7 linked regions of the Mus musculus genome follow. The protein of the gene in region 3 binds, or shares a complex with, the protein of the main gene of each other region. Links are inferred from orthologs where the notes say so. Each region holds a gene or a part of one and is shown on either strand. Other genes may lie near its edges. The genes, in order: Prpf6, Plrg1, Snrpg, Snrpd3, Rbm48, Snrpf and Srrm2.

Region 1 (3,500 bases), on a different chromosome or scaffold from region 3:
ACTTTTGATGTACTGAACAAACCCTATATATCCCAAACACAGGGTGTGCAACTTTGTAGGAAAAAAACACAGTACCCACAGTGACAGGAAGAACAAAGGCTCAATTCCAAGCACAAAGTTCTATCCCCGACCACTGGCCCTCCACTTCTTTCCCAGCGTGGGAATGACTGCTGCCATGTCATGCTGCCGGGTTCCCTGGGATACCTTGACAGAGGCTTACCCCCTGGTTGTAGGCCTCCCGGGCCTTCTCCATCAGTTCTCCCTGCTCCTCAATCTGCCCCTTCATCATCCACAGCTTGGGGAAATCTTCATAGTGCCTCAGAGCCTCCTCACACAGCTCCTGCGCCGCAGAGATGTTCCCCAGAACCCACTCCAGCTTCACAGACTTCATGAATACCTGCAAAGCAGAACAGCACTGTCACATGAGGGACACTTCCCATCATATGCTTGAAGTCACAGACATCTTCACACATCTGTCCTGGGCCTCATCCGTTTTTGTATTAGCTCTTCTGCAAATACAAAAGGTATAGATAAATAAAGGGATGCATGTTAAAGCCAATACCAAGACAGGGCTGGGGTCTAAGCTGTGCCACTCATCTGTCTCCTTCCAAACGCCATGCGGGAGCCAAGAGGCACCCTGCCAACTCTCCCTAACCCACCAGTCACCACTCACACGGGCAGTGGGTGCGCTGCTCCGAGCCTTGGCCAGTAGCCTCCGGGCTCGCTCGTATTCATTGTTCTCTGACTCCAGCTTCACAGCCGCCAACCAGATCTCTTCGCTGTTGGGGTTGGCCTGGAGAACAAACACAGCTGCATCAGAAAGGCTCATCACAGAAGTGACCAAGGCTAGATTATGCTTAATCAAAAACAGGCAGCCTCAAAACTGAGCTGGCCCTCTCCCTGATGCATGACTAGTATTAGTACACTCCTGCACAAGCTACAAACTAGGGGATGACTGGGTAGACCTCAGCCAGGACCCAAGCTTACCTGAAGGAAAAACAAAACAAAACAAAAACACAAAAAACCTAAAACTTCACATTTGTTTTTACTCTTGTACAGATGAAGCAACAATGCTAGAGCTGTAGAGCCGCCCTCTCTAGAATCCGTCTAAATTCTACACAGCCTCTAAAACGCATGCCTTGTGTTAGGAGCTGCTCTGTCTAACTTAATCCCTTCCCCTTGGCTAGCCACACCATATGGTCAGGGTAGAAAGATGTTCAAGGTGCAGATAATGACGTGTAAAGGGCTCCCAAAGGCATGGGCCAAGCCACACAAACACACAGTCCAGGAGACGTAAAAGTGGTGCACTCAGAACTTGTATCCACCTTCCTCTGGGACTTCTGCTACATGGCCATGCTGCCTACTGTTATGGGAAAGGAGAACCAACCATCTTAGAGCTTTGGCATGCAACTAGACGAGAAAACTGTATGTGGGAAAAACATCAATCACTCTGCACAGCACTATCTCTCTGCACAGCACTACCACTTGCTCCTCTGTCCTTTCCAAGTGACAGCTGGAGCAAAAGATTGACCCAAGTTAGCTCTTTTTCTGATGTTTCTGTTGTCTCACAAGAACAAACTTTACTGTGACCTTAGGCTATGATACTAGACTGATATTTATATAGCATCCTATAACTTATTAAAATAATCTAACACCTATGTTATGATAAAATATTAGGATTTTTTTTGATAGAAATATTTTTCGAATGTTATATGTTGACTGGGGAGATATCTCAGTGGGTAAAGTGCTTACTGGGCAATGTCAGTGGGTAAACGTCAGGCATGGCAATGCATATGTGTAACCCCGTGCTGGAGAGTGGAGACAGACGGGTTCTAAAGACAGCTGATGTGAGATAAACCAAACTGGCTCTAAGCTCTAAGCTCCGGGCTCAGTGAAGGATCCTGCCCTTAAAATAAATGAACAACAAGAGGAAGGCAATAGAGGAAGATACTCTAGGCTGACCTCTAGTACGTACACACACACAACCCACACACACACCCCCACACACATATACACAGTTACCATGCCTGCCACATACACACGATACATGTTGTAACAGCAAACCTAGTCAGTCCAGGTAAGTACGACTGTTTTAATTTGGTCCCACTCTCAAAGAGGTACTAAAATACCCTGGCAGCTTGTGCTTTGCCCTTGTACTCTAGAATACTTAGCCTACAGTCATACTAAGTATGACTAAGAGGTCAATGTTCCTGATTGGGGTGTTCTTCATGCTTTGACCCCATAAATCAGGCCATGCACATAATTTAGTGTCTCTAGACTAGACCATGGCATATCCTAAAAAATTTGTATAGAATAAATTCTGAGGCTACAGTAGCACCAAATCTGAGTTTGTGTTCATAGCCCCTTCCAGGGCAGGTATCCTTCACCTACCTGAAAGGCCAGGGCCAGGATGCTCCTTGCTGCAGGTACATCCCCTGCCAGCCACTTTGACTTGGCACCCATGAGCCATAGCACCTCTGCCTTGGGGCAGTGGGCTACAGCCCTCTGCAAGAGTGCTTCCAGAGACTCCCTGAAAGATAGAGGACATGGTCACTAGAGCTAGGGCCATAAATCAGGGCATATAGCTACTAAGATGCTGAAAAGACAGTTACCACTCCAAAGTTCGGTACTATTAATGATTTACAAGATTTTACGATGGGGAGAGTGTGGGGAAATCTTTCCTTCCAACAAAGAATCTAAAATCAACTACTGAAGAGTGCTCTATAAAGCAAAGCATTGTTTAAACAGCAGAGCCTTTTATAGCCATGTATCCTGGGCACTGATAACATGGCAGTCTGGTGACAGTGAAGGCCTTTTTATCTTGAAGCTCAGAGGATACCCTGGATACACTAATAAAGATTAAGGTCCCTAACCCTGTCTCCCTCCCCCAAAAAAGGTCTCATTGAGAGTGATTTAAGGACATTACTGAACTAGAATATTTGTCAGCCTTGGATACTGGGTATGAAGTCTCTGGGTCATCTCTGGCCACCACTACCTGTGGGTCATAGCACCTTCACTGATGAACCCCACGTGCCCTCATGTTCACGAGCAAACCGAAGGATATGCAAATCCGTATCATACAGAAACACCACCATGTTCCCCAGAGCCCTGGGCCCAAGTGTTTTGTTTTGTTTTTTTAAAGATTTATTTATTTATTATATGTAAGTACACTGTAGCTGTCCTTAGATACTCCATAAGAGGGCATCAGATTTTGTTATGGATGGTTGTGAGCCACCATGTGGTTGCTGGGATTTGAACTCGGGACCTTTGGAAGAGCAGTCGGCGCTCTTAACCACTGAGCCATCTCGCCAGCCCCTGGGCCCAAGTCTTGATGACTTTCCACATCAGTCTGAGAGCTAGCCGCAAAGAAAGAATAGGTTGTGGGAGGGAGCTAACCATTGAAACATGTGAGTAGGCAGCAGCATACACTAAGGCCACAAGTCATGACTACCAAGTGACATTCTACAGAGTAAATCCTAAGGGTCCTTTCATAAAGAACT
Region 2 (4,167 bases), on a different chromosome or scaffold from region 3:
ACAAACTAATATAGCTTAAACTTTAAATGTCTGAATATAGTTAAATTGTATAGATATCTTTACTAGTAGTCTAAAAAGTTAGACCCAATGAAAGCACTAAATTAGCTCAGCATTTTATTTATATTTTTAAATTTATTTTTACTTTTTGGTTTTTCGAGATAGGGTTTCTCTGTATAGCCCTGGCTGTCCCGGAACTCAACTCTGTAGACTAGGCTGGCCTCGAACTCAGAAATCCGCCTGCCTCTGCCTCTCAAGTGCTGGGATTAAAGGCGTGGGCCACCACCGCCTGGCTAGCTCAGCATTTTAAAGAGAAATGTACTTATATTACTTAAAAAGATAATCTACCTTATAAATTAAATATGAATGCAAATGAGGGAAATTAAGTAGATTATTAAAAAAAAGCAAAGGGCAAAGAAAGGCACTGCACATAACACAATTCCCAGACTAGGGCTGGCGAGAAGCAAAAATATGCCACTCAAAACTCTTCACTACACCACGGAGCAAAGATGGGAGTAGTACTGGCCAAGTACAATTTCAGCAGAACAAGAGTCTGAGACCAGAAGCCGGGCAGTGGTGGCGCACACCTTTAATCCCAGCACTTGGGAGGCAGAGGCAGGCGGATTTCTGAGTTCGAGGCCAGCCTGGTCTACAGAGTGAGTTCCAGGACAGCCAAGGATGCACAGAGAAACCCTGTCTCGAAAAACAAAACAAAACAAAACAAAACAAAGAGTCTGAGAGCAGAAGCTAAAATCACACACAAACTGATTCACTACAAACAAGATGACATAGCAGGGATGCCCCTAATTACTGGGTACTGGTTACTTTTCTATTGCTATGGCAAACACCATTCTGGAGGCAATTTAGAAAATAAAGTATTTAACTAGGGGGTCATGGCTCAAGAGGATAGAGTCCTTGGCCATAAGAGTAGGGAGCATGAGAGCAGGCAGGCAAGCACAGTGCTGGAGCAGCAGCCGAGAGCTTACATCTGATTGGCAAGCATGATGTGTGGGGTGGGGGTGGGGGGCTGGACAAGAGGGAGGGAGTAGACAAGCAATAAGGGAGCTAACTGGGAATAGTGTAGGCTTTTGAAATCTCACAGCTTCTCCCCAAGGCCACACCTCCTCTAACAAGGCCACACCTCCTAATACTTCCAAAACAGCTCCACCAACTAGAGACCAAGCAAGCATTTAAACGCATGAGCCTATGGAGGCCATTCTCTTTCAAATCATCACACTGGGTGCCTGTAAACTATAGTTAGGTAATGATGTTTTTACTGCAGAAGACAAGACAATAGAAAAATGAGTTACCATTACTTATATTACACTAGAAAGCCACTTGCTATTGCCCAAGCGTCCTGTGAGTATGCACTTTTAAGACCTTTCAAAGTCCCCTCCTCCCCTCTCTCTGCACCCTTCTGTTAATATTAAATACTTTAGCAACTGAAAAGGAATAAAGCTTACCTCTCTTCATCCAAAGGCACGGGTTTTCCATTATCAGCCACAAACATGTCATGGGTCCTCTTCAATGACCTGAACACCAGTGTGTGTACAGAATGCTTCTGTACCTCCTGTAAAGAGACAGCCAAAAATCACACATCTAACAAGAGACCCATACACCCTAATCGACATGAGAGTCATTATGCAATTTCCACGCTAAATATGGAGAAGGATATACACTCCTCAATAACTGTAACAAACTACAGCAATCAACAACGAAGATGAGAAAGCTCCTGTCTGGCCAGAGCTCTTAGAAAAGTAACTGAGTAATGCCTACAATGTGTTCAGTAGATATTTACCGAGCTAGTACTGTATGCGGCATGCAGTGTACTCAAGAGGCAACAGACAAAAATAAGCAAAATAATTCCACATTTTTGGAGGGTTCTATGAAAATAGGCAATGGGATGAGTTGGTGGGGGGAGAATTGGTAGATATAATCAAGAAAGGTTTCTCTCAGGTGATAAGCAGAGAGGGAGACAGCCTTACACGGAATAGAGGTACAAGCAGTGAAAGTGTGGGAAATCCCACTGCAAAGGTGTCCAGATAACTCAGAACCGCAGCAGTTGTGAATGCTGCGGAAGTGTGGGTTTCCAGGGTCGGTGAGGTTTAGACCTCTGCCACCACCAACATTTTTACTCTATAACACTGGAACAGAAAGCAGCACTGAACTACACTCCTGCAATGTGTTCGTTAATCCTAAGCACTTAGACCAGCTGGAAGTTATTGAATGAGTCCGGGCAAAAGATGTTAGGCTAGACTCGGAGGACTGCAGTGGACCTGGAACGCAGTGGGTGGGAGTAAGAAACGTTTGGGATACGCAAGAACAAACAAACAAACAAAATCAAGAACCGCACGCCTCTACTGCGGTAGAGATGAAATAACAGTGGAACTGACAAGACAGCACGGACTAGCATCCCAGCCACGGTGGGAACATCAGAAGCCCCGCCTCCCAGGAGACGGCCAGGTACCTACGACAACACACGGACTGCAGGATTCCCTCAGGCTTCCCGCCGACTGAAGCTCGGACTTGGGATGTCATCGGCCTTCCTCCCACCCCGACGTGCCGAGACCACCAGCTTTGACTACAGTTCCTTTCCCCAGATTCCCACCACTTTCATCCTACACTTCCGTGGGCAAAGCAAAGCTCCAGGGACAAACGACTCCCAAGTACCCAAGCATCACTTTACCTCCACCATGTCGCCGCCGTTTAGTCTACCCCTCCAGCAGCGAAGGAACTCAAATAATCGCCGCAGAAAACGCCGCCACTATTCGGCAGCTCTTTCCGGAGATTGGGGCCCGTCGCCGGACGTGACGCTAACCGCACATGCGTATTGGCAACCCGCCGCGCAGGGGTCGAGGGGCGGAGTCTAGCGGTGGAGGGCGGAAGCTAGGCGGAGTTGCGCGGAGCCTCTTGGAGGAGAGCGGGACTTCGGCAGCCGCTGGGCGGGACTGGGGCGGGGTTTGGGCGGGGACGAACGATGTCTCCAGGCAGAAGGGCGGGTCTCGGCGGAGCTGGGCGGAGTCTCCTGCCTGAGGGCGGAGATTTCAGCCGGAGCTAAGGGAGCGCGCCAGCCTTAACGTTTAGGGGCGGTACCTGCTTCCAGAAGCTTGGTGCTCCTTACTTGGAGGTTTTAAGCAAGCAACTTTTTCGTTTCTTTTCTTTTTTTCGAGACAGGGTTTCTCTATGTAGCCCTGGCTGTCCTGGAACTCACTCTGTAGACCAGGCTGGCCTCGAACTCAGAAATCCTCCTGCTTCTGCCTCCCAAGTGCAGAGATTAAAGGCGTGCGCCGCCACCACTGTCCAGCTTAAACAAGCAATTAAAAAAAAAAAAAAAAAAAGGTTGAGAACTTAAGTTGGTTTTATTTTATTTGGCTTGACGCTAAAGTGTTGAGGTTTTGTGATTTACCCAGGTTAAAAATAAATCTGTGGCTTATATGATCGATCGTTTTCAAATGTTTTCTGTATTGATGTAGTTGCTATTTGCGATCTTAAGGCGTTTTCACAGATTGTGCGTCTTCCTGAACTGTGGTTAAGTTCACGGATACCGTCCTCAGAATACTGCGAATACTTTGAGAAGGATGAAACGTAGCGCCGATACAGCAATGCTCTCGCTCGATTTATATTTTAATTCATTAAAAACATGAAGGTCGTGTTTTTAACCTGAAAATGGACATTTCTAGTCTTTTTAGTTTTGAGCCTTAACGTCAGCGCCATCTTTGTAGCCCGCAAGTAGTCATTTCTAAATGTGAATGTGAGTTTAGCCAAAGGATCTTATTTTCTGTAAAAGTGGCTAATGTTTGTGCACGTTGCAAGGAAATAGTAATAGCCATAGAAAAGAACATTTTAAATCACAAAACACTAAGGAAATGTAAGAAAGACCTTAATGTATCTATGTTAATATAACTACTAGACAACTCTCATTAAACTTGTGAGATACCTTAGTCATCCTGAACACAGCTTATGCAAGGCTCATAAGGGCAGTCTACTGAGGTAAACCACACTAGGTTTTACTCTTCTTACAGCTCTTGAATTAAGCCACCCGTGTGAAAATTTCCTTCTTAAATGAATAGCTTGGGTGATCCTATTATCTAGTCATGAGACCCATAAATCACACATATCATACACAGATCTCCTGTTCATATAGGAACCTGGGTTTTTCTGTTTGCTATG
Region 3 (2,431 bases):
TTAACAAGATATCCTGGGGCATCAAAAGCATGCTAGAGAATTTGTACTGTAGTCAAAGTCTGCATATGCGTGCCCATCTCTTACAGGGCAAAGCTCAAAAATAAATCCCTTCAGCTAGCTGTTCCAAGACCTGTGCTGAGAGGGTCCTGCAGGTGAGAGCTTGTCTGTAGGTACCTGGAATAGTACCACAGCTGGGTGTGTCCACAGGTAAAAGGAAGGGGGAGGTGCAAATGCCCAGTCTTCCCTTTCATTTACCTTTCCTCGGTAACTAACTTGGTTTTAATCTGAGACTTTGATATGAGGAATGTGAAGGAGGGAGGAGAAGACCCTGGAGATGCTGCCCTTACTCACCACCATGCCAATGTTGTTCTGTTGCCCACTGGTTGCCATCTCCACACACTCGTCAATCACAAGGTTCATAAAGGGATCAAAGCCCCGCAGTATTCCTTGGACATGCCTGCCACCGTTTAACTTCACTGTAAGAGAAAGAAGAAGTCTCAGTAAACCAAGTTCAACCATCCATCATAGATCAGGTGGGATGTGTGACCACCACTCCTACTATCTGCCTAACCATGGGCTAATTCTATCCTAATATTCCAGTTCTTCTTTGCCTATATCTTAGCCTTTAAGACCCTGGAGACATTACCTGTGAGTCTCATGGCTGTAATCCCAGCACTTGGCAACAACAGAGGAGGGCTGCTTCAAGAGGACTGTGAGACCAGACAGGGTCACATAACGAGATCTGGTCTCAATGACTGTCCCCCCCCCCCCAAGTAAAACCGCCTCAACATTTATACATAAATGTATTTGTAAGTAAATTTATACGTAAAGTAGTATCTTTACACAAATGAACCAGTTACAAGAGTTTAGAGCTGTTGAATGGTAGAGAAGAGAAATCCTAAAATTTCAGTATACTTCAATTGCATGGGTCAGGAGGTTTCTAGTTAAACCTACACATCCACAAGAAACATCAAGTGCTGCTTGTCCAACTCCCTGGTAACATATTTAAAGGAAAGGGGCTGATAAAGTTTTAAATATTATAACGTAGGACACTGCTAATTCAAGGCCAGGGAGGCACAGATAATGTAATTAAAGATAATGCAATTAGAAGGCAAAGAAAAAAAGTCTAATTAGAACTCTGACAAATCTGATTAGTGGAGAAGAATTAGATGTCTTATATATTAAATTTCTATAACACATTTCCAAAGATTACATATTGCCAAGACAACAAAAAGAAACCAAGTAGTTAGCTGAGGTGGATGCAAACTTACATGATAACTTCTTGTCCATAAACCTGGAAAAGCAAGAGCAAAAATTAGGACTTATGTAAAAAGTTCTAAGCACAAACAAGCACAGAATCAGTAAAATTAAAGTGATTTGCTTGGGCTGGGATGAGATGTTAGGAGGGTTCGATGTTCCTCCAGAGGGCCTGAGATCTCTTTCTAATATCCATGTCAGGTGACTCACCACCTCCTGCAACTTTAGCTTGAGGGTACCCCAGGGCACCTACACTCAAATGCACACACCCTCACATACAAAATAAAATGTCTTTTTGAGACATAGGGTTTTTCTATGTAGCCCTGGCTATCCTGGAACTCACTGTGTAGACCAGGCTGGCCTTCAACTCCCCAGTGTGGAAAATTAAAGGTGTGCCACCAGGCAAAGTTAAGTCTTTTTCCTTTTCTTAAATTGCTAAAATCTGGGCTGGTGAGATGACTCAGTGGGTAAGAACATTTGCTGCCAAGTCTGATTTTGATTCCCAGAACTCACTGCTGGAAGCAGAGAATGAATTCTTTAAGATGTCCTGACTTCCATACCTGGCATATGTACACACTTACACAACCAATGTAAAAATCCAAACCAAACCAAACCTACAATTTGTACCCCAGACACATAACATTTAAAGCAGTAAGGATCTTGTACTGTTTGGATATGAGTGTGTGTGTACCAGGGCAGTTGTCATCAGATACCCTAAAGCTGCCATAGGCAGTTGTGATTTGCCCAGTGCAGATGCTGGGAACTGAACTCAGGTCCCTTAACTGCCAAGTTATCTTCCCAGCCTCAAATCCGGAACTGTTGACATGGGCTAGGGAACTTACACTAATGTAATTACAAAGATTTGGTTACATTTGTGTGTGTTATTACAGAGATCTCTGTTATTACAGAGATTAGAGAGATAGCTCAGAGGTTGAGTGCACTGACTGCTCTTCCAGAGGTCCTGAGTTCAATTCCCAGCAACCATATGGTGTCTCACAACCATCTGTAATGGGGATTTGGCATCCTCTTCTGTCATGCAGGCATACATGTAGGTAGAATATAATAAATAAAATAAATGTTTAAAAAAATTAAATTTGTTTGTATGGTGCCAATACAGAAGTCAGAGGACAACTTCAAGGAGTTGGTTCTCTCCTTCAACCATGTGGTCCCAGAG
Region 4 (4,200 bases), on a different chromosome or scaffold from region 3:
CCTCAGGGCAGAGGGAACCAGTAAGCGAGTAACCAAAACAGTACCAAGACAAAAAGCGCTGAGAAAAAGATGTTCCCTTTGCTGGGTGCTCCCAGGCCATTCTTTTCCCCCTCTTTCCCGCCCCTTTGCTGAGAGCTCTCAAGCCATTCTTTCCCCCTCTTTCTCGGCCTCAGGCTTTCCACAGTTCCCCGGGGAATAGGATCACCCAACGTGCTTCAAGCAGGGCTATTCGATTCTGGACAAGGTTGTGCCTTTTTGCCCCTTGGACTTTTCCACTTGACGGCTCTCAGCACTCCCTGGGCTTCAAGCCCCAGGAGACTCAGGAACGACCCTAAGTGGAGGACAGGAGATGAGAAGGAATATCCACCTAGCTAGGACCCACTAGAAGCTCCAGGCTGGGCTGAGGCCGCAGACGACCCAAGGTCGCGCGCGGCCAGACCCTGCCCGGCTCTAGGGCGGAGTCCCCCTCCGTTCCCCCGGTTGAAGGCAAGGCCCTGAAGAGAGGCACTGACCGGGCTCGAGCGGCTGCCCCGCTGCCTCTGCCTCCGTCCTCATGACCCGGATGGCGCAGGGCGCCCATGGCCCCGGCCTGGAGCTGATTGCAGCGGCGACTTCTGCTGGGCAGCGAGCGCGGCCAGTGAGCGCAGAGTTCCTCCTCCTCCGCCTCCGCCGCCGCCGCCGCCACCGCGGTTCAGAGCCGGGTAGGCGGTGGCTAGGCCGCCTCAAGCCACGCCTAATCCCTTCCAGGTCTGGGCGCTGGAAACCCGCCCCTTCCATAAGCCACGCCTCTTCCCTTCCACCCCCACTTCTCCTTCCAGAACCCGCTACCCGTAGGTCCTTCCCTGAAACGCTCCGGGGGCCCCTCCCCCTCCCCGAGCCCCGCCCCTCCCCGAGCCCCGCCCCCAAAGCCCTTCCCCTAGCGACGTGGGCTCCCCACGCTCTCCCTCCGCTAGGTCTGTTCTTCTGCAGCCTCAGATGGAAGCTCTGGTTCTCCGCAGTGCCTTATCGAGACTCCAGGGAACACTTTCCCGACTCCTTTTAGGTCTTCTTACCCAGACAAGGAATAATGAGAGTTCCCAGGGCTCAGTGCGTCCCTTACCTGCCGGTGGCCGGATCCAAAGCTTAAATCTCTAGTCCAAGCCTCACTTCCTGTCTCCCCAGAGCACTGGGCTCAAGCCCAGATCCCGCCCAATCCGCCACTACAGTACTCAGGGTTACCATGTTCCCTTGTTGGGCTCCAGGATTGGTGTTTCCGGCGGTCCCCCGGGCCCTCTCCGGTGCCGGAACTATTGTGCTAGAGCCCTGGTTTCCCCAGCCGGCTAAGTGAGAGTGAAGGGCAAGTAGGCTTAAAGGAAAGGGAGGGGCCTGCGCAAGGCATTCTGGGAGCGCGTGGTATTCGTGAGAGTCGGGCCGGTCGTTCTCTCGCCTTCGCCTTCTAACGTTTGTGCCAGAACCGGAAAAAAAATAAAGCCTGCAGTTAATTGGTGAGGAGAGGCGGCTAACGGGAGAGAGGAGGCCAGGGCTTCCCCAGGGGGTTTAGGAGCTGGAAGGGCCGCTGCGGAGGAGCTCAGCGGGGCTTGCTTAGCGGAGGGCGGGAAGCCAGGGCCTATCCAAAGCTCATCTCCCGAACCCTTGAACAGTTATTAATTTACGCCTAGTCTGCACGTTCGGTGCCTTCTCAGGTCACCGATTTCCGAAGCTTACGGGCAGTCATTTCTTGCTAATTACCTCCTTTCCTTTTGGATCATCATTTACAACGTCCCTTTCATCCCTGCCTCCACTCCCATTCCTGCAGTGGCCCTCTTTTCCACGCTGCTGCAGAAGTTTAATCAAGTTGCCGTGCTATATGTTCGATCCACTTTGTAGATGCTACTCTTTTTTTTTTGAACCTTTGGCTATCATCCTGCAGTGTTTCCCTACCATTTTCAGCATGGAAACCCACACTCCTAAAGTTGAAAGCCGTGGTTCCTCACCGAGAGAGAGAGACTGTGTTTAGCATCCTTACAGTCTTCTCATGCAAATAAATGGTGTGCTCCGGTTTTGAGTCGTTTCCAATCTCAGCATTTTAAAAGCCCTGTGCATAGTCTTTGTCTTGTAGTGAGACTTAAAGTCGAGCGTTTACCCTATTTCTCTGCTTGATGAACATTTCCTATTTATAGCACCGTAGCCTTGACAGTTTTGGTCTGCTTTTTGGTGGGGATTCAAAACGCTGGATTGAAAAGCGCAAGCTCTTTTTCCTAGCTTCCTTGGGGCTCAGGTCTATATGTACTATTAGGTTCTGTAGCCTTTATCCAAATGTGGTGGCTGACTACTTGGGATATTTCTGGTGTGACTGAAAGACTGAGTTTGCTTTTATTTGCATTTTATTTAACTCCATGTAAACAGTGATTTGTTTACACTCCGGGTCTATATCATAGCCCTTTTAGTGACTATAAAGGGTCATATGGCTGGGATGAGAATGGGGGTAGTACTCTTTGTTCCCATTACTTTTCATTGTCCAGCTTACCATCCTTCCCTACCCTACGTGTTGCGCTAATTTGCTGTGGTGGTTCCTTGAGGCCAAGAGCCACACTCCTTCCACAGGAAACGCAGCTCTTGACATCATTTACAAAGCCCATGGCGTGCCAGTCCTTAAGCTCTGAAAGATGACCATCGTCTCTCTTTCCCTGTAGCCCGGGAAGAGTCCTGCCAAGATGTCTATTGGTGTGCCGATTAAAGTCTTGCACGAGGCTGAAGGCCACATAGTGACGTGTGAGACCAACACCGGGGAAGTATACCGAGGGAAGCTCATTGAAGCAGAGGACAACATGAACTGTCAGGTATCCTGCTTGGCACCAGGGCTGGGAAAGGGCTGTGGCTTCTATCCTGTGGGTAGAGCGGTGTACTTGGAGGTCTTAATGAAGTTATTCTCATCAAACAGTTATTAACTAAGTACTTATTACCTGTCAAGCACTCTTACAGGCTCTAAGATTTTATGTCAGTATAGACTTAGCCTTGAGGCAGAAAAGTCATTTGACAGCCTGTGGTTGTACGTGTGTATCCGAGCACTTGAGAGGCTGAGGTAGATTCTCGAGTTCAAGGCCAGTCTGGGCTTTATAGCAAGACCACACTGCTTTTGGTAGGGAGTCAGAATGCTGAATTGAAAGCACAATCTCTTTTCCTAGATTTCTCTGGGGTTAGGTCTATATTTACTGTCAGGTAGCCTTTAGCCAAATACAGTTGCTAAGTACTTGTCTATAAAACAACCAGTTAAGTTTCACTTTTCTGTCTCAGAGTCGGTCAGGTTCAGAGCCAGTGTCTGCTTCCCAGCACAGTGTATAATTTGCAGGATCTTCTACTCACGTATTGTGTGTGCTTACTTTTGTCTTGGAGAAAGTTTCATCTGATAAAACTGCCAAAGTTTTGGCATATGGTTTGGGGGTTTTCCCCATTAATTAAGAACTTGAGCTTTGGAATCAGAGAATTCCCTGATTCCAAATTGAGTTGGGCCATAATGATAGGACCTTGGGTATCCTGGTCACTTGTTCTCCCCTGAATAAAATGAGGATGGAGTTGTTTTGGATCCTCTGTGCTGTAAATGCCAACCCAGAATTAGATACACCAGAGACTTTGGGGAGGTGGCGTGAAGGACGCCAGTGACCGAGCAGGATTGCGGAAGTGATTGGTTACTTTGCTTGTTGCTGTGATCAAATTCCTGACCAAAGCAACTTAAGGAAGGGGGAGTTTATTTCGACTCACAGTGTGATGAGACAGTCTGATGCAGAAGAAGTCATGGTGGCAAGAACTTGAGGAGGGTACTAACTAGTCACATTGAATCTGCAGTCAGGAAGCAGAGATGAGTGCCAGGACTTAGCCCAGTTTCTACTTTTCACCTCCACCTAACCTAGACAATCCCTCGCAGACACGCCTGTCCCTTCAGTAATTCTAAATCCATCAAGTCGGTAATATTAATCATCGTAGCAGGAGGGTCTTCAGTCCAGGAAAGGAAGGCAGAGTGAGCAAAAGGAGCCTCAGGCTACAACATGGTGCTGAGGAAGTTTCACCCAAGTAAGAGGAGTAACTGGAGCCAGTAATGGACTGGCTCTGATGTTTCTGCTGTGGTCAGTCCCTGGCAGCCTGCTGGAAGGGCTGTCGCAGCGTGAATGCCCTGGCAGGTCCCCCAGAGTGGCAGCTGGAGGGTGCCAACCTGTTGTCTCCTGA
Region 5 (4,300 bases), on a different chromosome or scaffold from region 3:
GTAATTGCTAAAAGCAATGACCTCTCAACAAAAGTCATATTAATACTACACAAAACCAGGACAGGAAGCTGGGCGTGGTGGCGCACGCCTTTAATCCCAGCACTCGGGAGGCAGAGGCAGGCGGATTTCTGAGTTCGAGGCCAGCCTGGTCTACAAAGTGAGTTCCAGGACAGACAGGGCTACACAGAAAAACCCTGTCTCGAAAAAAACAAACAAAACAAAACAAAACAAAACAAAAAACCAGGACAGGAAACCTCATGTGTATCTAGCTCCACCTTTCTATAAACAATAAAGATTAGATATAAGCATGCAAGACTTAATCCAAATGCTTAGTATTTTACTTCTTCACTTCTCAAATAATAATAAAAATAATAATAAAGACCAAGACTATGTAATTCCTAAACAGTGATGAATCCAAGGAAGCAACAACATGTCAGGTTCAAATTCTTAGCGACCATAAGGAAGCATTTTTCTAAACTCATGGGGTGGTAAGCTTAATTTGAGATTTGAAAATACACTGAAAAATCCCCATCAGAAATGACAGGGAATAATGATCCAAGCTGGGATTTGGTAACAGTGAATGATTCCTTTCAGTCACCAGAAAGCAAACCAGAGAGTTAGAGAATATTTGGTGGAGATAAACTAACAGTAAGAATGGTTCTGATGAAATTGGTGTGTTCTGATAGGTGGACTGTAAAAGCAAGATAAATGTAGCAAAGAGGAAATAAAGGTAGAATACTTGAAGTCATTTCAAACTCTTGTATATTTTTTTTATGACCCAGTGTTCAGGTACCATGCATCTAGGATTTTAGATTTCAAATACTCTAACCCCATGAATACACTCAAACTAAGAGAGTCTATTTCTGCTCACTCTTAGGAAAATATGGATGCTGTATTTCCACCGATGGTTAATAGCCTTGAAACACCATAATGACAGAATCCAGACAGCTCGCTGAGGTCCAAGTAATCCTAGCTACCGAGGTGAAAGTGTGGGGTGTGAATAATTCCATCACCTTGTCACCCCGCCCCACCTCCCTCGCCGCACATATTCTTGCTATGTTCGAAGTCCTCCGGAGCAGGGAGAGCTATCTATCCTTTTATTAACCTTTCGCACAGGTTGGAAACCTTGGTAATCTACAAACCAAGTCTGCCACTCAACACCTCTATCGCTGCACCGGCAACTCGTTGGCAGGATAATGCTTTAGCAACCTGTAAGCAAACCTGTAAGAGCTCTCTAGAACTTTCCATCCTTGAGTGAGGGCCGCTTCTGACTGCTGGGGCAGAACCCTTGCATGCTCAGCTTGCTTTAACCGAGTTAAAGGGGTGCACTAGGAATTCCACGGTAGGGTCTGAGGATACACTAGCCGTGGTGTGGATGCACACGCTGCCACTCCACGCCATGCCCGCAGGGGGCCCTCGCTCACGCCTCAGCTCGGGGTCGGTGGCAGACGATGTCCCTGCAGGAAAAGGTGTCAGCTGACCCTAGTCCCACGAGACGTCAGTGGTGTCCGCGTCCCGCCAGCGCGTTACCTGCAGCAGGTGAAGCTGGGCCACGAGGCGCCGCGGCAGATGCAGGAAGCAGTCCCGAGCATTCGTGAAGGCCACCGTCACGACCGCCCCACCAGACCCCGCACCCGCTAAGCGATCGCTGCTCCACATTGTCCCAAGGTTCAACTCTCACCGGAGAGCGGAGTCCACCGGCTTCTCGTCAGGTGAGAGCGTCGGAACCCGAGAACATCGATCAGGCCCGCCCCCCTCTTCCCACGCCCGGCCGCTGTCACCCTCGGGCCACCTCCGAAGCTCTAGGGGGCGGCACGTCGCTCGTCGAATTCTCGCTCTCAGGAGATGATCGTCGATGGGGTCGATCCTTCAGCCAATCCTAGCACGCCTGGTCCATCCTGCTCTCTTATTGGACTCAGAGGAGCGCGGCTGGCGGATGTTGTTCTGGCGCGGGGGACTAGAGCCGGCAAGATGGCATCCAGTGACGGGAAACCTGGTGGCGTATTCGATCACCACGTCCAGACGGCTGTGTGTGACTCGCGGGCCAAATACCGGGAGGGCCGACGCCCTCGCGCGGTCAAGGTAGAGTGACTCGGATTCTTCTCTCCCCTCGGCAGGGACACTAAATTCCTGTGAGCACTAGCTCCCCAAGGCCTGCCTCCATAAAGGCATGGCAGGGATGTTGTGAGATCCATCTCTAAGTGGAGGGGGCACGAAGAACCCGGGCCCCGGTACCAAAGGTTATCACTACCCTCGGTTAGCTGCTTACCAAACCTCCAACCCACTATTTTTAGCTTTGTATCCTATGTGTTTACAATAGCGCTTCTCACAGGGCAAGCCCAGGGTGAGTGAGTGTTCAGTGGCTGTTTACATTAACCTCTCTGGAGTCAGCTTTTGGAAAAGACGTCTGTTAAGTGGTTTAGTCAGATACCCTTATGTGGAGTGTGGTAGTCTTTAGGCAGAAGAGTGACAGTTTAGTGTGTATGTTTTGCAGACCGGATTGTTTCTTGTTTTCAAAGCTCCATTTAAAAGGGGGTGGGAGGACCGATTTGCCATAGGCTTGTTTGAAGAGTACATTTAACGAGGTCTCCTTTGACTTTAGGTATATACAATCAATTTGGAGTCTCAGTACTTACTAATACAAGGAGTTCCTGCAGTGGGAGCCATGAAGGAATTAGTTGAGCGTTTTGCTCTGTATGGTGCGATTGAACAGTATAACGCTCTAGATGAATACCCAGCGGAAGATTTTACAGAAGTTTATCTCATTAAATTTGTGAAATTACAGAGTGCAAGGTATGTACAAGTTAAGCAGAACTCCTGTTAAAATCTTATTCCTGTTGCTGTCATTTTGGCCCCAACTGTTTCCCAAATGTACCCAAAGCACAGAAGCACTTCTTGCTCTCAGTCTTCCTGATTGGGGGGAGGAGGGGAGGGGACAGGGTTTATTTGGATAGCCTTAGCTGTGCTAGAATTAGTTCTGTAGACCAGGCTGGCCTTGAACTCAAAGATCCCTTTGCCTTTGCCTCTGACTCTCGAGTGCTGGGTTTAAAGGTATGCACCACTCCACCTCGCCTTCCAGTTTGTTTTTCACCAGGCCTCACATCTGCGACTTAATCACTCTAACAGTGAGTGACATCCCAGCTCTTCCTTCAAGCTTTTAAAAGGCTGACTTTACAACAATACTCTTCCCATCCTCTCATACCTGTGCTTGGCAAATTTTGAACCTGTAGTGTGGTAGATTAAGAATTACGTTTGAAGTAAATTATCAGTCCTGTGGATTCATGACTGTGGAGAATTTTAGTCCTCCAAGCAAATTTTTGTTCTTTTCCTAAAATCCATATGGCAAAAAGGACTACTTCTTGAGGTTCACTGAGCAAGGATGAAATGGGACAATTTATGTAAAGGGAGTAGACTGGTACCTCCTATTAAGAGGAAATAGTAGAGCCGGGCAGAGGTGGCACATGCCTGTAATCCTAGCACCAGGGAGGCAGAAGCAGGTGGACCTCTTGAGGTGGAGCCAGCCTTGTCTACAGAGTGAGTTCCAGGAGAGCCAGGGCTACACAGAGAAAACCCTGTTTCCAAAAAACAAGCAAACAAACAAAAAGTAACTATTAGTAATGACAGTTCTTATTTGTATAGTTCTATGTTAATCAACTTTGTATTCCAATAAGGAATGCTTTATTTTATGTTAACCCCTTTTGGCGGGGGGGGGGGGGGGTGCATGTGTGTGCATATTCCTGTGTGTGTATGTGTGTGTGTGTGTATGTGAGTGAACACTAGCCTGAAACTGGCTGTGTAGACCAGCTGACCTAGAACTCAAAACTTCCTCCAGACTCTGCCTACCCATCTCCACCAGGTTCAAAGGCTTGTGTGCACTACAGTGTACTCTATCCTATTTTTTGAGGTTGGGCCCCTCCCTCACTGAGCTCATTGGCTAGATTGGTGACTGTCAAACTCAGTGATCCTTCTATCTCTACCCTGTGAGCACTGGAATTACAGGCACAGTGCGGTGCCTGGCTTTCACGTGCATGCCAGGGGTCTGAGCCAAGGCACTCCAGCAAGGGCTTTTCCACCGGAGCAGCCTTCCTAGCTCATGTTAGCCATTTTTTCATTTTAATCACTAACCTTATCTAAACCATATCTTTTTCTGGCTTTTGCTATTCATAAACTTTTTTTTTTTTTTTGGTATGGAAAAAGACTTCAAATCCCCTGGAGCTGAAGTTACAGGTGGTTGTGAACCACCCAAGATGGATGCTGGGATTTGACTCTGCTCTTCTCAAAGATCAGCAAGTGCTCTTTT
Region 6 (4,223 bases), on a different chromosome or scaffold from region 3:
CCTTGTCTGACTTTGATGGGCAGCAGGCATATACATAGTACACTGACAAGACATCCATAAAATAAAATTAAAAACTAGAAATCAAAATGAATGAACAGGTTGAGAATGTAGCTTAGTGGCAGACTGCTGGTCAGCATGTACAGAGGTCTGGGCTTGATCCCTACAAGAAACTGGACAGATGGGGCTGGAGAGATGGCTCAGCAGTTAAGAGTGACTGTTCTTCCAGAGACCCTGTGTTCAATTCCCAGCAACCACACGGTAGCTCACAACTATTTGTAATGGAATCCAATTCCCTCTTCTGGTGTGTCTTAAGAAAGTGACAGTGTACTCACATAAAATAATGTTTTAAAAAAACCAAACAAACATAATAGACTGTAAAAATGCGTTATAGCTATATAACGGGATATTATTCAGTCCTGAAAAGCAGTAACTTCTATCAATGAATCCTGAAGCTATAATCAAACCAGACAAAAGGACAAAAAGCCTACCCCAGGGCATTTATGGGGCTTTGTTCCAGGGCCTCTAGGACCAAGGGTGTTGGAGCTCCTTGTTTCAAATAGCTGAGCATCTGCATAGAACCTAATGTCCTTCTAATTTCTAGACTGATCATAGCCTAGTACAGTGGAGAAAGCAAAAGGACTGTGTACCTCGAACATAAGATATAATTTCTCTTAAGAATTTTTGATCTGAAGTTAGCTGAATTTATAATACATTCCACTTACATGAGAGACAGTCCCACTCTTAATCATAGGGCTGGATTACAGGTGGATTACAGGTGGTAACAGAACTATTTAATGGGTACAGAGTTCCATTTGAGTACTAATGCCACTGCATCATAGTGCTAATCGCCTATACAGACACGTCTTAGAAAAAGACAGGCTGAATCATTGTTTTCTGTAATAAACTAGTTTTCCCTTCTGCTTTAGAGACCAAATGTCAAAGCTCTGTGTTCTGGTGTAAGTACTCCTAAGAACATCATGGTTCAACCTCCTCCCTGGTTCATACTTTAATCTCGACTCCACTTTCTATTGTCAATCTGTGCGCATTCCCACCAGTCTCAGTAAACCTTTGAGGAGTAAGGTGACACAGTAGAAACCTGGTTTCCTGCTCCTCACCCATGCTCCTCCTCCTCAGCATACCTGCATGTTCATGTAGCCATCCACGGAGACCAGGTAGCCCTTGTACTCCATGCCCCACTTAAGTTTCACCATCACTGGCTTCCCTGTCAGCCCATTGAGAAAGGGCTTGGGGTTGAGGGGTAGACTCTGTATAAAAACCAAAGGCAGCACTCAATAATTTTTGCTTACCTCAGCTTCCACCACCCACTCTCTACTGAGACACCAGTCAAGACTTTATGACACAGGGTAAACTCCGATCCACCATCACTTTATAATTTGCTGGAGGGTGTCTGAGAGAAATTTAAGTACCCATTTAGCCAACTTCATAGTCCACTGACAGAAACGAAAATATGAATTATGCAATTAAATGTCGAATGACAGATGGGAGTGGGGCAAGTGTGTAACACAATGACAGGGCACTGCCCTAGGATACTTAGGTCACTAGTTCCATTTTGAGCACTGCCGAATGGACAAAAGCCCCAAATACCTACATTATCCAAGCTCTAAAGGAATCAAAATAAAGGTACAGGGTGGTCTCTGCAGACATTAAAAAAAAAAAAAAAGCTCAATATCGTCAGTGAGAGGGCCTCTTAATGCTAAATCAAGAAGTATTATTCCCTTTAAATTCATAACCACCCCCATACTCCATTCCACTCACACACCATCCCAAAGAATCTTGGAGAGCACAGGGTCTAAATGAGTAGCCAATTTACGCTGCCTATAATTTATCATCCACAAACCACTTATCAAGTCATGTACTATTGTGACTTAAAAGAATGCTCCAATGGTCTCTAACTGCACTTGACAGAGCCTCATATTTCCTAGGAGGCGTTAAGGTCCCAGGCTGTATTTTAAAACCATCATTCTTGCAAGCAGCGGTCAATTCTTGTCAATTCCAACTGGTCAAACCTACTTTCTACTTGGAACTCGCGCAAGAAATACTCTTCCACCTGCTCTGTGACCTGGATGTCTGGTTATTTGACACCTTCTGGAGAAGAGCGCTCCTCCACTGCGTTATAACTAGGCAGTGCACCTCTCAGAGCATCCTATCAGCTCCCTGCTTAACAATCACCGCTACTTGTAATTGCTTATTTTGTTGTTATTATTTGACGGCTGCCTACCTCCCACTCCTAAGAAAACGCAGAGTCTACCTTACCACCCCATCTTCCTGGCGCCTAAGATCAGTATTAAATGAGTGGAAGGGTAGCCGGGGTTTTCTGCGCCAGAGGACAATCTGCTAAAATTGTCAACAGCAAGGAATAAATGGCGCACTGCGGAGCGTGCTAGGTAGAAATGGAAAACTCGCTTCGGTTTACCCCTACCCTGTGAGCCCAAACTAGGCTACACCTCAGGCTCCGGGACAAACAACACGCGGAAAGGTGGCTGGGGATCTCGGGGAGGGGAAGGGCTTCCGCGCGCGCGCCGCCAAGGCCTCCGACGTCGGGAGCAGGAGCGAGCGGCCAGCCGCGCGGCGCCTCGTGGGGATGAATGGGAGGCGCAGGGGGCGGCGGGCCCCGCGAGGCCGCCCGTCCTCCAGCCCCCGCGGCGCTCATCGTCCTTACCATCGCGACCACCGGCGAGCGCTGCACCCCGCTAGCCGCCGACTCCGCCGCTGCCCGCCCCTCGTGACCGGAGCGGCTGCCGCTACAACCAAGCGACCCGCGCTAAGAGAAATGGCCGACAAAAGCGGCCTGACCTTTCACCTCACGCCGCGTTGTCTCGGCTTCTGTGATTGGCCACCAAAGACGTGTTTACTGATTGGAGGGGATGGCGGTACTGTTTCCTAGCAACCAGGTAAGCGTGTGTTTGTGTCCACTGCTCAAGTTCGAAGTGGGAACGATTGAGCGACCCCAATGTCTTTGCTTCGGGACAAGGGGAAGCTAAGTGCCCTGGCGAACGGACTTGGTTTCTTTAGCTAAAGAAGGTTTAGTCTGTCCTTCAGCTGAAAGAACGAGATCGGGTTCTGGAGGTCATCCTCCCATAGATCCAGCACTTGGGGAACACCTCTGGCACGGCCCCCCTTTTATGGGACTGTTCTTTATTACAGAATGTCCGTCCACTTGCGGGTTTTTAAAGGAAGCTGGGGTAGCAAGACTACGTGAGTGCTAGTGAAAAGCACTCAAGTGGGGCTTTACAACAGTTGAAACCAGGTCAAGTTAAGTCTCGGATAATGTGGTGGCCTCTTGTCGTTCTGATGTCTAAGCATTCCCAGAACCAGAGGCCAAAGGAGGTCCGTTTACGTGTGTTTGTGAATAGGATGTGGGGAATTATTGACGCTACCACAGGTTAATCGCTCTGATGGAAAGTTATCGATCAGAACCCCGTTTAATTTCCCCATAATCTCAACATTTCAGTATCGCTTCACCTGTGATATGAAACCCGTGTAAAAAGAGTACTTTTTTCTTTTTCGGGAGATCTAACCCTATATGAACCTGAACGGTTTTTTGTTTGTTTGTTTGTTTTGTTTTTTTGGCATGGATTCCCCAAATAACTCGAGATTCGAGATTGGCCCAGGCCTAAGCCTAAAGACTGTCGTTTATATTATTAAAGTATGCCAACACATTCTGGGGGTGTTGGCTCAATGGAGAAGAGCGCTTTTCGCACGTGAAAAGACCTGGGTTCGAATCCCATCCCCACATGGTGGTGACTCACAACCATCCAAAGTTTCATGTGCCGGGGACCCATCTCTCTCTTTTGACTTCTGTGGGTGCCAGGCCCTCCCGCGGTGCACATGCGCACATGCAGACAAAACATGATAAAGAAAATTTTAAAAATGATGCTGCTAATCTCAGATACATTTTGATCAGACCGAAATCTTAGCTCGGATTTTTTTCCCATGGTAATGGAAGAATAATTACTGTTCCTGACACTCAAATATGCTCTACTTATTCAGTCAGCATTGACAAATTTATAAATCTTAAACTCACAATCCTGGGGATACCTAGTCCAACTTCTAATTTAATACTGTAGGTGATGAAATACTGGGAATTAGACTCAGACAGATTCATGTTAGTATTTTTCTCCTTGTATTGAGCTGTCTTCCGTATTCTGCAAAGGACCAAGAGTAAAATGCACAAGGAGAGATACGTAATAAAACCAAGACAG
Region 7 (4,053 bases), on a different chromosome or scaffold from region 3:
ATATCGGACACCCAAGAACTCATGACAGACCGAGCTTGTTGCAAACCACATGAGGCTTTATTTGGGGAAAGCCAGAGCTCTGGGGACAACTCATATCCCACGCAGGGGTAGAGGAGTCGTCCTCGAGGGGAAAGAGTTTCCAGTTTTTATAGGCCCTCAGGGGGGAAAGGAGAAGGGGGAGATTAGGGGATTTCCAGATCTAAACAATGTCTATTCTCAAGAAATGGGTATGGAGGGGTACAAGGAGAGTCTAATGAAGGTGCAGCAATGAGCACACACCTGGTCAGAACATTGGCAGACACACAGGTTCAAGGAGTGGCCAGAGCATTGTGCACCTCTATTTTTCTAAATCAGTGAAGCTAGTTCTGCTAACACTGACGTCTATCTTGCCAATTTCAGGGCTTCTGTGTCCTTTTACATTCTGCCAGGATCTTTCAGTGCCTCAGTGGTGGGGCCCTTGCTACCGAGTGAGAGGCACTGGGACAAACTCCCGGAACCGTGCTATAGGGCCAGGAAATGGAACTGCATTCTCACATTCCTCCACTTACATGGCATAGTCTCTATAGGCGAAAAGTAATCACTTAGTCTCTTTGCCCAAAGGTAAGAGAAAGTATTTTTTAGTGGTCTGCAAGCCCCACTTCAGATAGGACTACAGAGGTGGAAACTGTGGAAAGCACCGGATACTGGGCCAGAAGCCGGGTTCAAGTGGCTCCAGAGCTGTCAGGTGGCTTGACTCTGAAGCACCTCTTCCTGCGAAGAAGACTCGGTGCTGTGGGGCCTCGTACACATTAAAGAAAACCATGGTCACAGTGACTAGGTAAAGCTGCTGAGCCACTGCCACCCAACACGGTCACATAAAATGGCGACCCTGCCTAGCGGAGGAGTCTTACGCGTTTTCTCTCTAAAACCGAACTACAGCTCCCAGAACTCTGTGCGCGGAAGGCGTGCGTCTGAGCTACTCCCGGGTGTTGTGGGTTGCGGCCCCCGCGCCCCTCCCCCCTCCTACAGAAGTTTTTTTTCAGCCGACCTTGCAGCTTCGGTACGGAGCCACGCCTTTCCCCGCAGTGCCCGACGGGACTCGGGGTTTTTCGACTTTTCAGTAGCACGTCCCTTCGCCTAAGGTCCTCCTTGTGGCTTCAACGCCTGCGCACGACGCACTACGGTTCCCAGAGGGCCCAGCGGCTCTCATGATTGCGTGCTGACGCACTAGGTCGTGCTGACGCGCAACGCTGCCCAGGCGGGGTGCGAGTGGCGCAGTCGAAGCCCGCTGCGGCCCCTGAGGAAGCGAGGAGGCGGCGGCGGCGGCGGCTGAGGCGGGCGGACCGACGAGGCGGCGGCTTCAGGCTCCGAGGGATACGAAAACTTAAGCAGCAGCTGCGGCGGGACCTCCCTGTTTGACAGTCGGCGGCCGGAGGCGGCGGCGGCGGGTGAGAGAAAGGGAGCGCGCTAGCCGGGTGGGGGAGGGGCGGCGGGCTGGGCCGGAGGCTAGAGCGCGGGGAGAACGGCCCAGGCCGCCGCGCGCACGCGTGCTCGTCGCCTCGGCCGGCGCGGTCGCCTTCCCTTCCTCCCCTCCCCCTCCCGCGGTTCCTGGGACGCGCGGCCTTCAACTCCTCCGCCCCTCCCCCACACGGCCGCGGCGCGCGCGGCCGCCTGGTCTCGTCCGCGCGCCCCCGGTGAGACAGCATTGCGCGAGGCTCTGCTTCTCTCCTTTGCTCTACCTGGGGCTGAGGAGGCCGTCGTTCCGCGGTCGTCCTCTTCGGTCTTTTAGGGGGCGGGGAGAGGGCGGCAGCGGAGGTACTTGTCCCCCGCCCGAGCTTCGGACCTGCTGGTACCTCTCCTCGATCGGCTCCGGCGTGGGTCCACGGGCCCTGCTAGGGGCCTGAGAAACGGCCAGAGCCGCCCAGACCGCGGGGCGCCGCGTGGCCCCCTCCCCCCTCCTCGAGGCCGAAAATAAGCTGGGCTGCCCAGTGGGCGGCGGGAGGAGGCCTTGAACTTTCGGAGGCCAGGATTTAAACCGTTCGTCCTCGTTAGTATCAGAGGCTGTGAGTGTGTGCGTGGGGGTGGGGGATCCCCAAGTCTTAAAAAGTGAGGATAATAAAACCGCGAAAGTATTCAGCCTGCGTGTATAAGGAAGACCAATGTGCTCCTTTCAACCCTGTTATTTTATTTCTTTTTTACGGTTTGGTTTTATGAGCTAGGGCCTCTAAATAGTCTTGGTTGGTCTGGCACTAACCGTGTAGATCAGGCTAGCATTGAACTCAAGAAATCTGCCTGCCTCTGTGGGATCAAAGGCATGAGACACCATGTCTGGCTCCTACCCTGGTTTTTGTTTTTTGTTTTTTTTTTCCCCGGAGACAGGGTTTCTCTGGCTGTCCTGGAACTCACTCTGTAGACCAGGCTGGCCTCGAACTCAGAAATCCGTCTGCCTCTGCCTCCACACCCGGCTCCTACCCTGTTTTTAAAAAGGTCTCCTCAAATATTAAAGCTAAGCCTTTTAGAGCTTTTCGATGGGGAAAAAATTCTTGACTTAATAGCCTGGCTTCAGTCAGCCATTACTTGGTGATGACGTTCTTCCTTGCTGTTTCCATCTTACAGTTCTTTTAAGATGTCTCTTAATTGTGGATTCAAAAGGAAACTATTGCCTTTTTCCGTGGGAGTGGGGCCTAGGCCTGGATGTATACTGTAGCTTGTATGTTTCATGGTGCCTATGCAGTCAGTAGTGTCTCAGCTCTGAGTTCTCTGTATTTTTTACTCAGCGTCCTTTTCCTTGATCATTGCTGTTCTCTCGGTCGCTGTTTCTTGAATATCTTAGTTTGCTAATTTTCTACCTCTTTGTATTTTGGCATTCTGATAAGTTTTCCTCCCTTGCCGGCAATTTGTTCTTGGAGAGGCTTGCATGCTTTGGGCTCCTGTTTTAAATACTTCCTGGTTTTGGTAGTTGTGGTTTCCCTTTTAGTGTTTCAAGCATTGTTTTTGGCTGCTGGTATGTAAGTCCCCCCTCCCCCTTTAGCTCGTCTCTGAAAATTCTCCAAAACTGTGACTCTAATACTTTTTGCTTAGCTTTCATTCTTCAGGTAGGGTGTGGGAGGATTTTTGTGTGAAATGGTGAAAATATGAGTGGTTAGAAGGACTGTTAGGTGAGAAAGCAATATAAGCCCTAGATTTAGAGTGAGGAAGGATTGGTTTTTCTTTTTCCAAGACTATCAAGAGTGGTTGTTAGAAGGTACTACAGAAACATTAGAGGGGGGGGGCTGTAAAAAAGGTTTTGCATTTCTTAGATTTAGCCTTATCTCTTACTCTTGTTGTCTCTCCTAGATTTACCTTTCTTGCTTTTAGTTTCCTCTTGTGTTAACTGTTGAGATTGAGTAGGACTTATGTTAGGCTTGAGGATGAAATGGGGCAAAAGTGCATCTGGGTGTTTGCTTTACATTCAGCATCTTCCTTGATTCCCCCCCCCCCCCCCCCGCACTTTGGTGACATGTCCCCATCCCCAGACTAGGATTTTTTTTTTTTGTAGCCATGGTTGTTCTGGAACTTGCTGTATAGACCAGATTGGCCTAGAACTCAAGAGATCCACCTGCCTTGCTTCCCAAGTGCCGGGACTAAAGGCAGTGCCACCAGAACCAGGCAACACACTTCAGTTTGTTTTTTGTTGTTGTTGTTGTTTTTTTTTTTAAACCGGGCATTGATATGGTACTATTTCACCCAGCTCCATCTCTGCTATCTGCTTTTACTAACCTCTGCTTTCCCCTGTGTGTGTGTTTTGATGCTAGTTTTCTTTCCCATGTTTGAGACCCTATTTTGGAGAAAATGTGTTAGAGGAAAAAAGTAAAACATACATAGTTAGAAGGGAATAGGGAATGAGTAATACAGTCCAAAAAACTGGAGCTTGAGAGTTTAGTGATGCTGAGCTTGGAACACCATGAAAAGGTAGAACCTTACAGGAAAACTGTTAAATTGGAGAGTAAAGCAGGACTTAGAAAAACAATGAAGTGTCAGAACAGGGATTGATTGATTGATTGAAAGTCAACACTTTTACATTAAAGGTATGGA

Evidence for each region.
Region 1: Snrpg (region 3) and Prpf6 share a complex: the UniProt entries of both Homo sapiens proteins name them as parts of the U4/U6-U5 tri-snRNP complex. The link is inferred for Mus musculus from reciprocal best matches to the Homo sapiens genes SNRPG and PRPF6.
Region 2: Snrpg (region 3) and Plrg1 share a complex: the UniProt entries of both Homo sapiens proteins name them as parts of the minor spliceosome. The link is inferred for Mus musculus from reciprocal best matches to the Homo sapiens genes SNRPG and PLRG1.
Region 4: Snrpg (region 3) and Snrpd3 share a complex: the UniProt entries of both Homo sapiens proteins name them as parts of the U7 snRNP complex. The link is inferred for Mus musculus from reciprocal best matches to the Homo sapiens genes SNRPG and SNRPD3.
Region 5: Snrpg (region 3) and Rbm48 share a complex: the UniProt entries of both Homo sapiens proteins name them as parts of the minor spliceosome. The link is inferred for Mus musculus from reciprocal best matches to the Homo sapiens genes SNRPG and RBM48.
Region 6: Snrpg (region 3) and Snrpf share a complex: the UniProt entries of both Homo sapiens proteins name them as parts of the U7 snRNP complex. The link is inferred for Mus musculus from reciprocal best matches to the Homo sapiens genes SNRPG and SNRPF.
Region 7: Snrpg (region 3) and Srrm2 share a complex: the UniProt entries of both Homo sapiens proteins name them as parts of the minor spliceosome. The link is inferred for Mus musculus from reciprocal best matches to the Homo sapiens genes SNRPG and SRRM2.

The regions. Positions count from the first base shown.
Region 1 is NC_000068.7:181,646,319-181,649,818, reverse strand, and holds part of Prpf6 (pre-mRNA-processing factor 6), read right to left. Parts: intron 2,531-3,500; coding exon 2,392-2,530; intron 794-2,391; coding exon 674-793; intron 398-673; coding exon 221-397; intron 1-220. UniProt on the Homo sapiens protein: Involved in pre-mRNA splicing as component of the U4/U6-U5 tri-snRNP complex, one of the building blocks of the spliceosome.
Region 2 is NC_000069.6:83,054,171-83,058,337, reverse strand, and holds the start of Plrg1 (pleiotropic regulator 1), read right to left. Parts: upstream 2,801-4,167; 5' UTR 2,693-2,800; coding exon 2,684-2,692; intron 1,568-2,683; coding exon 1,461-1,567; intron 1-1,460. UniProt on the Homo sapiens protein: Involved in pre-mRNA splicing as component of the spliceosome. Component of the PRP19-CDC5L complex that forms an integral part of the spliceosome and is required for activating pre-mRNA splicing.
Region 3 is NC_000072.6:86,374,540-86,376,970, reverse strand, and holds part of Snrpg (small nuclear ribonucleoprotein G), read right to left. Parts: intron 1,295-2,431; coding exon 1,272-1,294; intron 477-1,271; coding exon 352-476; intron 1-351. UniProt on the Homo sapiens protein: Plays a role in pre-mRNA splicing as a core component of the spliceosomal U1, U2, U4 and U5 small nuclear ribonucleoproteins (snRNPs), the building blocks of the spliceosome.
Region 4 is NC_000076.6:75,516,642-75,520,841, forward strand, and holds the start of Snrpd3 (small nuclear ribonucleoprotein Sm D3), read left to right. Parts: upstream 1-1,400; 5' UTR 1,401-1,484; intron 1,485-2,672; 5' UTR 2,673-2,693; coding exon 2,694-2,819; intron 2,820-4,200. Other genes in the region: protein GUCD1, read right to left, coding at 513-555. UniProt on the Homo sapiens protein: Plays a role in pre-mRNA splicing as a core component of the spliceosomal U1, U2, U4 and U5 small nuclear ribonucleoproteins (snRNPs), the building blocks of the spliceosome.
Region 5 is NC_000071.6:3,593,748-3,598,047, reverse strand, and holds the start of Rbm48 (RNA-binding protein 48), read left to right. Parts: upstream 1-1,500; 5' UTR 1,501-1,530; coding exon of another isoform or gene 1,531-1,659; 5' UTR 1,660-1,845; coding exon 1,846-2,082; intron 2,083-2,602; coding exon 2,603-2,793; intron 2,794-4,300. Other genes in the region: Pex1 (peroxisome biogenesis factor 1), read right to left, coding at 1,531-1,659. UniProt on the Homo sapiens protein: As a component of the minor spliceosome, involved in the splicing of U12-type introns in pre-mRNAs.
Region 6 is NC_000076.6:93,586,859-93,591,081, forward strand, and holds the start of Snrpf (small nuclear ribonucleoprotein F), read right to left. Parts: upstream 2,801-4,223; 5' UTR 2,684-2,800; coding exon 2,681-2,683; exon of another isoform or gene 2,555-2,680; intron 1,266-2,554; coding exon 1,140-1,265; intron 1-1,139. UniProt on the Homo sapiens protein: Plays a role in pre-mRNA splicing as a core component of the spliceosomal U1, U2, U4 and U5 small nuclear ribonucleoproteins (snRNPs), the building blocks of the spliceosome.
Region 7 is NC_000083.6:23,801,972-23,806,024, forward strand, and holds the start of Srrm2 (serine/arginine repetitive matrix protein 2), read left to right. Parts: upstream 1-1,253; 5' UTR 1,254-1,427; intron 1,428-1,683; exon of another isoform or gene 1,684-2,026; intron 2,027-4,053. UniProt on the Homo sapiens protein: Required for pre-mRNA splicing as component of the spliceosome. As a component of the minor spliceosome, involved in the splicing of U12-type introns in pre-mRNAs.